3 linked regions of the Ovis aries genome follow. The protein of the gene in region 3 interacts with the protein of the main gene of each other region in a pairwise test. Links are inferred from orthologs where the notes say so. Each region holds a gene or a part of one and is shown on either strand. Other genes may lie near its edges.

Region 1 (3,753 bases), on a different chromosome or scaffold from region 3:
ACAGAGTAGTGGTCATAAAGAGAAGAACTTTCTGTGCAGAGGCCCTGGGGCAACAAAGTGCCTGGCATGCTAGAGGAACATCAAACAGGCAGGGACACTGGCATGGAGTGAATAAGGGGCAGGAGAGAGGAGACAAGGCCAGACAGTGGGGATCCAGTGCCTGTAGGGCTTCGTGGGCTTGCTTTCTGCCTGCTCCAGCCTCACCTTCTTGTCTTTTATACAGTCAGGTGGCAGCCAGGGGAGGCATCTAAGCCCTGATCTGACTCAGGGGGTTACCAGTCCCCTGTGACTGCACGTGGAAAACAGACTGTGGGAGCAGCTTGTCAAATGGAGAGCCTACTAAAATAGTGCAGTCAGGAGGTGGCCAATGCCAGGGTCGGGGCAAAGATGGGGGAGAGAAGTGGTCAATTCTGGATAGACTTTAAAGGAAGAGCCTGGACTTCCCTGGTGGTTAGTGGTTAAGAATCCACTTGCCAATGCAGAGGACATGGGTTCAACACCTGGTCCAGGAAGATTCCACGTGCTTCAGGGCACCTAAGCCTGTGGACCACAACTACTGAGCACACTCATGCAACTACTAAAGCCCCCACACCCTGGCGCCTGCGCTAACAAAAGAAGCCACCACAGTGAGAAGCCTGGGTACCACAACTAGAGAGTAGCCCCCACTCACCTCAAGTAGAGAAAGCCTGTGTGCAGCAATGAAGGAAGGCCCAGTGCAGCCAAAAATAAATTTAAAAAGAATTTTTTTTTTAAAAGGAATGCCAACAGGATTTGCTGATGGACCAGATGAGGAATGTTTCCTGGCCCATTTAGACTAAGGCCACCAGGGACAAACCTGGAGTCTAATAAAGTCAGGTTTATTTACCATGGCAATAAGTGAACTGCACACCAGAAGTACTGTGGGGAATTTCATCAAACAGAGGAAAATAATTATTATCGGGGTTTGCATGCTAAGTCGCTTCAGTCATGTCCAATTCTGTGACGCTATGGACTGTAGCCTGCCAGCTTCCTCTGTCCATGGGATTCTCCAGGCAAGAATACAGGTGTGGACTGCTGTGCCCTCCTCCAGGGGATCTTCCTGACCCAGGTCTCTTACATATCCTGCATTGACAGTTGGGTTCTTTACCACTAGCGCCACCTGGGAAGCATCATTATTGGGGTTTGGGGGATGGGTAAAGTTTAGATGAAATGTAAGTGAAACAGTGTTTGGATAAGATCAAAGCAGAGCAGAACTGTGAGCAAATGGATCAATATCAGACCTGGATTGCAAAGTGGGCCCAGGTTCTGTCTCCTTGGAAGCAATAAAGTTTGGATAGATATGAACTACTGTGTCCAGAAACCCCTTACCTGAAGCTTTGAACCTGGACTGTAAATCAAGGCTGCTTCTCTGTGTCACAGCGACCTAACTTCTCCAGGCCTTAAGTAAGATGTTTTATTCCTACTGTTGTAATTTCAAACAGCAACGTTTGTGATAGCCTATGATTTTAGAGAACAAAGCTTCCTAGTAAAAAAGCAGTAGTTGCTTAAAGAAGGGAAGTTTTGCTACTTCACATCTGCAGCACGTCCCTAAGAAAAATTTTTTTCCTATTAACTCTTCAGCCAGTTTTTCCCATCTCTGTTATCCCACCTAAATAAATTAGAAGGCAGGTTTTTTGGGGTTTGTTTTAAAAATTCAAGCTAAGTTTTACTTTCTCAGGTGTGAGAAAAAAGTAAAGTTGGTTTTAAGCATTTCTAGCCTGAAAGACAGTAAAGGATGGAAAGCTATTAGATAGGAAAGCTTATGGGAAGTTCTGGGAGAGTCAGGAGGTCGATTTCGGATGTTTTGAGTTTGAGATGCCTCAAGTTCGTGGGGATGACGAGTGGGCAACTGTAAGCTCTTTCTGAGCCTGGACCAACCTCACTCCTCTACACAGCCCTCCCTTTCCTCCGTTCGCCCCGTTCACTACCTGCAGTTAATCTTCTATCCCTGCTGTATCATACCTTTGCACGTTTACGTGTACCGTTTTTACTGCAAGTAAAACGCGGGGAACATCGTCCCTTCAGCCAGCTAACCCTGCTTCCAATACCTGCAACCTGGACCAGAAGCCTGGCGCCGCCGCATTTATCCTCGGGCCCCGCCCCACATTGCCCCGCCCTTAGCCCCCGCCTCCCTCTAAGCCCCGCCCCTCGCTTGCGCTCACTTGTAGAAGCTCACAGGGCGGTTGTCCGCGCCCAGCTGGCCCGCAGTGTTGGAGCAGTTCGGAGCCCGGCAGTACTTGGGCATGGCTGTCCAGCCCAGCTGGGTTTTGCCCGGTCTGCAGCCGCACTTTGATCCTCACCAGGCGCCGCCGAACCCCGCCCCACCTGCGCGCTTGCCGCCTGCCTCACGTGACGGCCCTTGGGTCCTCGTCACATGCGGAGGGAAGGAAAGCTGCGCCTGCGTATTACGCGCCAGACGGCGTTGCCACATCACGTGGCAAGTGGATAAAGCAAAGCCGGCTCTGAGACGCGGGCCTTCATCACGTGTTGGGGAAGAGGTGTCGTCAAGACCTTTCTGAGTCTGCGCAAAGTCTTCAGTCTTTTTTCGGCTCCACCCTAGCTTACATCCCGGCGACTGCTACTGCGAGGATAGTCGGCCTAGGGTTGGAGGTAGGGGGCTTTGGCATTAGCCTCGTAAAAGTTCAAAAGTGAAATTCAGTGAATGATAAAAACACAGACGGGATTAAAAAAAAACTCCACAACGTTCGATCAAACATCTAGCAAAGAAGCCGTGGCTCCACCCAGCCAGAACCCCCGCTCCGCCTCTTAGCCCTCATTGGTCAAAAGCGCCGCCGGGTAACCCTGAGATTGGCCAGACCAGCAGCCCCCCGCGCCCAATGGGCGGCGGCGCCGGCTTTCCCGCGGCCGTTCGCTATTCAAGTGGACCGTGGCGGCTGCGGCGGTTGAGAAGTGTAACGGTCGCCGAGCTCCGACGCGACGATGGCGGCCTTGGGGTCCGGAGGCTACGCGCGGAATGATACAGTTGAGAAGCTGCCATCAGTCATGGCGGGAGTTCCGGCGCGGAGGGCCCAGTCTTCTCCGCCCCCGGCTCCACCGCTCTGCCTCCGGCGGCGGACGCGACTCCCGGCGGCTCCCGAGGACACGGTGCAGAATCGGGTGAGGAGTTGCTTGCCTTATCCATCTCAGTTCCAGGTTCCCTGCTCGTCCTTGGTCCCACCCTTAAATCTTTGGCCCCGCCGACCAGCCCCCGGCTGCTACCCCTCTGGCTGCTCTCTGGCCTGCCTTGTCCCTAAGCCCCGCCCCTAGATGAGGCTCCTCCCACTTCCTCGTCTCCTCCTCTCTCGGGTATTGCCCATCACCCCTAGTCCCACCTCTCAACCGCTGGCCCCGCCCTCAGTCTTAAAATTTTTTTTTTTCTGATTGAATGATCATTGCTTTACAGAATTTTGTTCTCTGTCAAACCTCAACATGAATCAGACATAGGTATACATATATCCCCTCCTTTTTGAACCTACCTCCCGTCTCCTGCCCCATCCCATCCAACTAAGTTGATACAGAGCCCCTGTTTGAGTTTCCTGAGCCATACAGCAAATTCCCATTGGTTATCTATTTTATATATGGTAATATAAGTTTCCATGTTACTCTTTCCATACATCTCACTCTCTCCTCCCCTCTCCCCATGTCTGTAAGTCTATTCTGTATGTCTGTTTCTCCACTGCTGCCCTGTAAATAAATTCTTCAGTACCATTTTTCTAGATTACATATATATGCTTT
Region 2 (2,934 bases), on a different chromosome or scaffold from region 3:
AAGTATTATATATAATAGTAATGCTGAAAGACATATTATTTAACTTTAAATAAGTTATAAGGTTTTGAATTTTCTAAAAGACCACTATGTATTTTTTCCTAATTACTAATGGCCACCTTAATTAGGAGTTACATAATAATAATTTTTTTCACCAATTAATCTGACATAGGTAAAATGCTGCCAAACAGCCAGACTTTCCTTTGCCAGTAACAGTCCATGTATGCAGCACTGTTTTGAAAGAGCAAATCTATAACATTATTGATGACATAATCCAAACTATCACTATATAGAAAAGGTACTCACAAGTAAGTTCTAATCAAAGTTTTATATGAAGTTGAAAATAATCTCTGCTTAAAATGTGGAATTATTATTATTTTTTAATCTCAAAGTCAAAATATGAAAGATCTTAGCTTTAGTACTAAAACTTTTAATTTATGGCAGCTTTATTCCCTTTAAAAACTTAAAGCAGCATTAAAAATACCAGTATGGAAAGAAAAATGTAGTGATTTGCTTCCTTCAAAGTCATTAATTTTTGAGATATGTTAAAAAAATTAAATATTCTACACAGGGGGAAAAAAGATAAGCTGCACTATTTTTCATTTGGATGAGCATACTATATTTCATTTTTGTATTTCATATTTTATATTCATATTCAACTTTGAATTTATCAAATGTGAATTATACAGATTATCATTAGCCTAGGAACACTCACCACCATGATGCCTTCATTTCTATAGCTTATTTTTTCTAAGAATAAAGTTATGGGGAAAGGAAAAAAAACCAGCTCTGTAAATGTGGGATATATTTCATATTTGGTTAAAGCAAGATAAAACTAAAACTGTCTTTCAAAAAAATTTCAAAAATTCTTGTTTTTAAAAATTATTTAGCATTATGTACACATAGAAAACAGGCTTCTCCTTTTAAACAAAGCACTATTTTTTATTTTAAGTACTTTAAGTACCAAGAACTGACTATAATATTCAGCTCATAATTTACTTTCTTTATAACAAATTTTTTTCTAAATTACTGACTTAAAAGGCTGGAATAAATTAATATTTAAAAGGATTTCCCATAATTTAGGAACATAAAATATTGTACACAGAGCACACATACATAGCTCTGTCATATTTGCATAATTTTACTCTCAGAGCTTCAAAAAACCCTGCGTTTCAGGCCTTTTTGCCAATCCTCATTATAATTATTTCCTAGTGTGTCAAACATACACTAGATCACGATTTTTCATCTCTGAGCCTGTGTGCTGATCATCTTCATCTGACTGCTGCTCTGAGCCTTGTGAATTAATATATTCATATTCAATAGGTTTTGGATAATTGTAAGGGTAGCCATTGTCATCAAAAAACCTCCGAAAGGTAAATTCATAGAAAGCATGTTCAGGGTGCTTTCCATTTTTATACCATCCGTTGAGAGTGTCGTTTACATTTTCTTCCTCATTATCATCACTCCGTAACTTGTCAGGATCAACAGGATCAAAATTTGATGTATCTGTTGGGTGTGTGATTTTAGGAATGTATGAAGCAGATTGCTGTCTCAGGTCACTGGAAAAATCAATTGTTTTAAAAAATGGATGAGCTTTTATTTCATCAGCACCATTCTTGCCTAAGCGATCTTCTGGTCCTCGGCAGAGTTTAATAATAAGATCAGAGGCTTCAGGACTCAGTTTAGCTTGCGGTGGGATGTGAAGAGATGTTTGCCAGTTGATAACCTTTAAAGAAGATTTTTAAAAATTAGAAGGAAAGAGGTAAGAAAAACAAATTTCCTCCAAGTTTTATATGAAGAAGTCTTACTGGACTATTTGTGTGTTTTTAAATAAATTGCATGGTATTTCACATTCCTTCACTTTATTTTTTTGGTTTGTTTTTTGGCCACGCCACACAGCTTGTGGGATCTTAGGTCCCGGACCAGGGATCAAACCATGCCTCCTGCATTGACAGTGCAGAGTCTTAACCACTGGACTGCTGGGGAAGTCCCTGAAGTTACTGTACTTTCAAACTCTTTTTTCTCTCTGCTGTTGAGACTGCATAATTTCTATTGATTTTTCTTTAAGTTCACTCATTCTTTCCTCTTGCCGATATCATACTATCTGGATTAGTGTAACTTCCTCTTAAGTCTTAAAATCAAGTAGCTGATTCCTCAAACTCTATCCTTTTAAAAACTTGTTTTTGTTATCAGTTTCTTTGTCCACCCAAATGAATTTTAGAATTGGCTCACCTATTCAATTGATTATTACATATTACTCTCATACCCTACAACTGTATTAAACTCACTTATTAGTTCTATGGAGGTTTTCACAGATTGCCTGAGATTTTCAATATAGAAAACTATGCCACCTGTGAATAAAGCAAGTGTTTTTTTTCCTAACCTTTATGCTTTTCCTTTCATTGCTGTATTACACTGGCTAAGACATCCAGAACTATGCTGAATAAGACTCAGACCAGACATCCTTGCCTTGTTCTTCATCTTTAGGGAGAAAGCATCCAATTTTTCACACACAGCACCTACACAAACATATTTGTATTTCTACCTATGCATTTATTTCGTAATACATATGCATTAAAATGAAGGCAAAATAAAGATACTTTCAGACAAATCTGACACAAACCTGAGAGAATGTATTACCAGTAAACCTGTAACAAAAGAAATTCTGAAGAAGTTTTAAATATAGTGTATTAAATGAAGTGACAGACAGAACATAACTTGGGTAGAGTGTCACAGAAGAGACAGTATGTCAAGACACACTCAAAGAATGATTAAAAATGCCCAGGAGTGAAACACAAAGGAGGGAAAGTTGTGAAACATGGGAGAGAAAGAAGGGTATTCCGTACAGAGGGAATGGTATGAACACAGGAACAGAGGAAAGACTGGGACTTTATAGACAAAGCCACGAAAAGGTTTCTTAAATGGGATAATTTATGA
Region 3 (3,753 bases):
CCCATAAGACCACTCACACCCTCCTGGGCGCCCTGCTCCTCCCATCAAGGGGCTCTGCTCCCTCCTGCCCCTCACCACTCAATCTTCCCTGACCTCCCAGAACGGGTCAACACCCGGAAAAGTACTCCCCCTCCGGTCCTACGTCAGTTACAAACTTCCATTTGTGAGCCTGCCTTCATCCTCCGGGGTCTGGGCTCCTGGAAGGGAAGGACTGGGGCTGCAGCACAAGGCTTTAGATACATGATCGCTCACTCGTGATCGATCGGTCAGTGAGAGAGCAGTGCTCTGTCTGAAGGAGGAACTGGGCTCCCTGGCTGAGGCCGCAGCTAAGGGGCTCGGGGAGGCCGGGAGAGAAGCGTACTTAGCAGGGTAGCTCCCCAACGCCTGGGGAAAGCGGTCCGCGCCAGCCATACCGTTTGCCTCCAAAGCTGGGCCTCTCCTCATCCGAGTCTCGCTCTGCCCACACTCCGTAGGTGGCCTCTTCCTTGGTCTGCCAGTGGCGCTGCCGGTTGGGGTTGAATTCATTCTGGAGATCCCAGTCGGTGATCTCAAAGTTCTCCCGCTCGTCCTCGTCATCATCCATGTGGCCTTCGCCGTCCCGGTACAGGTGGGACAGCGACATGGCCCGTCACTGAAGGGAGGCAGGGAAAAGGCACAGTTTGTGACAAGTCCCAGGGCAGCAGCAGAAGGCTGCCCTCACAACTTCCTCCAAACTAAAATCCACTGAAGTCACTGTTACAATTCAATAAAGCAGACGCTAAAAACGTATTTTACAAAACAGGTACCAAAACAGAATAAAAAAGACCAGTCCCAACAGTCCATGTGGATAAAAACATATTTCCTTCTCAATGTTGTCAAACATCACCCACACGCACATACACACAAACCATGTAAAAACAATTTAAGGATGTTACTCTACGGATGACTGCCTCACAAATGAGGCAAACATCTTCCTGGATATTATTTTTTTCTATTGCTGAGTGAAGAGTTTCATCTGGACTTATAACAGTTGAGCAAAGTGATTTCTTTTTTTTTTTAGAAAACACTTATATATAACCCTCAGGTTTTCTTCCCCAGACAGGAACCTCTTTTGAGGCACTAGAAGGCAGTAGTGATTATGAATACGACCTTAAAACAGCACACATCTGTGAACCGGAATGCAGCAATCCACTCAGGGTAGCTGGGTGATGAGATTCAGCTGTCTCTTAAGTGGATTAACTACAGTACCAACCTTAGAGAAGGCTTGTGCAGCAGAATCAATGAGATGGCTCTTTCAAAACACTTAGCTCACAGGAAGTGCCTGTTACTCTAGTCCCAGATTAGGTCTATGGCCCCTCCTATTACTGGATTAGCATGGAGCAAAGTGATTGTGAAAGCAGGTGCTGAAATCACACAGACCGAGTTCAAATCCCCACTCTACCTGGTACTCAATGCATGGATATTAAATGCAGACCATGTGCCAAGCATGGGGCACCGCAACGCAGTACATTAGGTGCAGGACAGCGCTGTGGCCTCCGTCTAGCAGCTGCAAAAAGCAGGCTTCAGGGACAGCCAACTCACAACACTTCTAAGGCGAGTTCAAACTCTGGTCAGCTCTGTGGGAAAGTTTTCCCTACTTAACTCTACTCAACTCACTGGTGCAATGGTTGGGTCCTGCCGGTCCCAACGTCATCCAGGCGCGAAAAAGGTGGGAAATACTCTCAGAGGAGGCGGCGTGTCCCAGATACATGGGAGTCGCCGATCACCGCCGCCTCCTCGGGCACAGGGCATGGTAAAAAGCACGGAGCTGTCACGAGTTACAGAGCCCCCAGGAGGTGCTAAGTAAGCCCTTGCTGGACGCCTCAGGCCGATAATCTAATATAGGCATCAAGGCACCTCTACGAGGGAGGTACTGCGAGCGCCTTCGAACCTCAGACTTCAGTAAAACGAGGCTGAGAAATTAACTTCCCTAGGCTCCACGGCTGGTGAGGCTTGACACCAGCTGAACTGCAGCCAGGGCTCGGCGTCTCGCTGCCGCGCCGTCCAGGCCCCGCGGTGGAGGTTCGGGGTCCAAGTCGGCCCGGAGACCTCGAGCGGCCCCGCCCCCGGCCCGCTGCGGCCGAGCTGTCTGCCAAAGGGAAGAGGGACCGGCGAGGCCGAGGCCCGCTTCCGCGAGCCAGAGTCCCCTCTCCTACTGGCACGGACACCCCCGCGTCCCCTGTCCGTCCACGCCCGGGCCCAGCTCACCTCTCCCCGGCTCAGCGGACCAAACTCAGAGCCCCACTCCGTGCGAGAAACGCGCCACTAAGGCGCCGGAACGCGAATGCGGCGCACCAGAAATGACGTCACGTCAGCCGATGTGACGCGCTCGTTGCCATGGCAGCAGTGGGACGCTGGGGCGGCTTTAGATTTAGAGCATTTGAGTTATTGATATGGTGAAGGTTTTCGCGGCCGAGAACGGCTAAGGGCTGTTTCTCTGTTGTTTCTTGTCGCGCTCACTTCTTCGTGACGCCCGCCTCTGACGACTGGTACGGACGTCGCCGAGCCACCCTGGCCGAGGGAGATTCCTTTGTCAGCCTGAGATTCTAAATCTGCAAAATGGGGATATAAGACTAGCTCCTGGGACATTTGTGCATGAGACATTTGCGGTGGCGTGGGGACGGCACATGACATTCAAATAGGAATAATGAAGGTCAAGACTGTCTCCTGGATCTTCGAGTCTCTCAGTATAAGCACGGTCGTGGGCCCGGAGCGGTTGCCTTTTACAGGAGTTTGATTAAGTGAAGGATTAAATGGGCAAACTCCCAAGTATTCTGCCAGGCAATCTTTTCATTCTCTTCCTTTCCAACAGGTTGGTAAATAAATCAGTTCACTGATCTAATAAAAATGTACCTAGTGCCTACAATGTGCCAGGCTCCGGGAATCAAAGGAACTGACAAGCAGGGACACTCCTAGAGAAACCCTCACCAGCTCTGGATTCCGCGTCAGCACACAGGCTCTAGAGTTCCAATCTCAGCTCCACCACTTAACAACTGTGAAACCAGGCAAGGCATTGATTACCTTTCCTGAAGCAAAATGGTTGTGATAAAATAGGTAAGCAATTAAAACTGTACCTGGTACATAACAGATGCTTAGGGAGTGTTAGCTGCTAATTTTACCTTTTATTTTCTCTCACTCTATCTGTATGATGAAAAGACCTAAGCTCAGTTCAGTTCAGTTCAGTCGCTCAGTAGCGTCTGAGTCTTTGTGACCCCATGGACTGCAGCATACCAGGCCTCCCTGTCCATCACCAACTCCCTGAGTTTACTCAAACTCATGTCCATTGAGTCTGTGATACCATCCAACCATCTCATCCTCTCCTCCCAGCTTCAATCTTTCCCAGCATCAGGGTCTTTTCAAATCAGTCAGTTCTTTCCATCAAGTGGCCAAAGTATTGGAGTTTCAGCTTCAGCATCAGTCCTTCCAATGAATATTCAGGAATGGTTTCCTTTAAGATGGACTGGTTGGATCTCCTTGCTGTCCAAGAGACTCTCAAGAGTCTTCTCCAACACCACAGTTCAAAAGCATCCATTCTTCAGCACTCAGCTTTCTTTACAGTCCAACTCTCACATCCATACATGACTACTGGAAAAACCATAGCTTTGACTAGATGAGCCTTTGTTAGCAAAGTAATGTCTCTGCTTTTTAATATGCTGTCTAGGTTGGTCATAACTTTTCTTCCAAGGAGCAAGCATCTTTTAATTTCATGGCTTCAGTCCCCATCAGCTGTGATTT

What was found.
Region 1: the proteins of TFIP11 (region 3) and THAP8 interact in binary tests that used the Homo sapiens proteins (3 or more experiments, as listed by UniProt). The two-hybrid records come from large-scale screens. The link is inferred for Ovis aries from reciprocal best matches to the Homo sapiens genes TFIP11 and THAP8.
Region 2: the proteins of TFIP11 (region 3) and LATS1 interact in a two-hybrid assay, tested with the Homo sapiens proteins (2 studies listed by BioGRID and IntAct). The two-hybrid records come from large-scale screens. The link is inferred for Ovis aries from reciprocal best matches to the Homo sapiens genes TFIP11 and LATS1.

Annotation. Positions count from the first base shown.
Region 1 is NC_056067.1:46,019,570-46,023,322, forward strand, and holds the start of THAP8 (THAP domain-containing protein 8), read right to left. Parts: upstream 2,373-3,753; 5' UTR 2,264-2,372; coding exon 2,181-2,263; intron 1-2,180. Other genes in the region: WDR62 (WD repeat-containing protein 62), read left to right, coding at 2,959-3,135.
Region 2 is NC_056061.1:73,957,888-73,960,821, forward strand, and holds part of LATS1 (serine/threonine-protein kinase LATS1), read right to left. Parts: intron 1,724-2,934; coding exon 1,214-1,723; 3' UTR 1-1,213. UniProt on the Homo sapiens protein: Negative regulator of YAP1 in the Hippo signaling pathway that plays a pivotal role in organ size control and tumor suppression by restricting proliferation and promoting apoptosis.
Region 3 is NC_056070.1:66,369,644-66,373,396, forward strand, and holds the start of TFIP11 (tuftelin-interacting protein 11), read right to left. Parts: upstream 2,291-3,753; 5' UTR 2,227-2,290; intron 632-2,226; 5' UTR 623-631; coding exon 414-622; intron 1-413. UniProt on the Homo sapiens protein: Involved in pre-mRNA splicing, specifically in spliceosome disassembly during late-stage splicing events. Intron turnover seems to proceed through reactions in two lariat-intron associated complexes termed Intron Large (IL) and Intron Small (IS).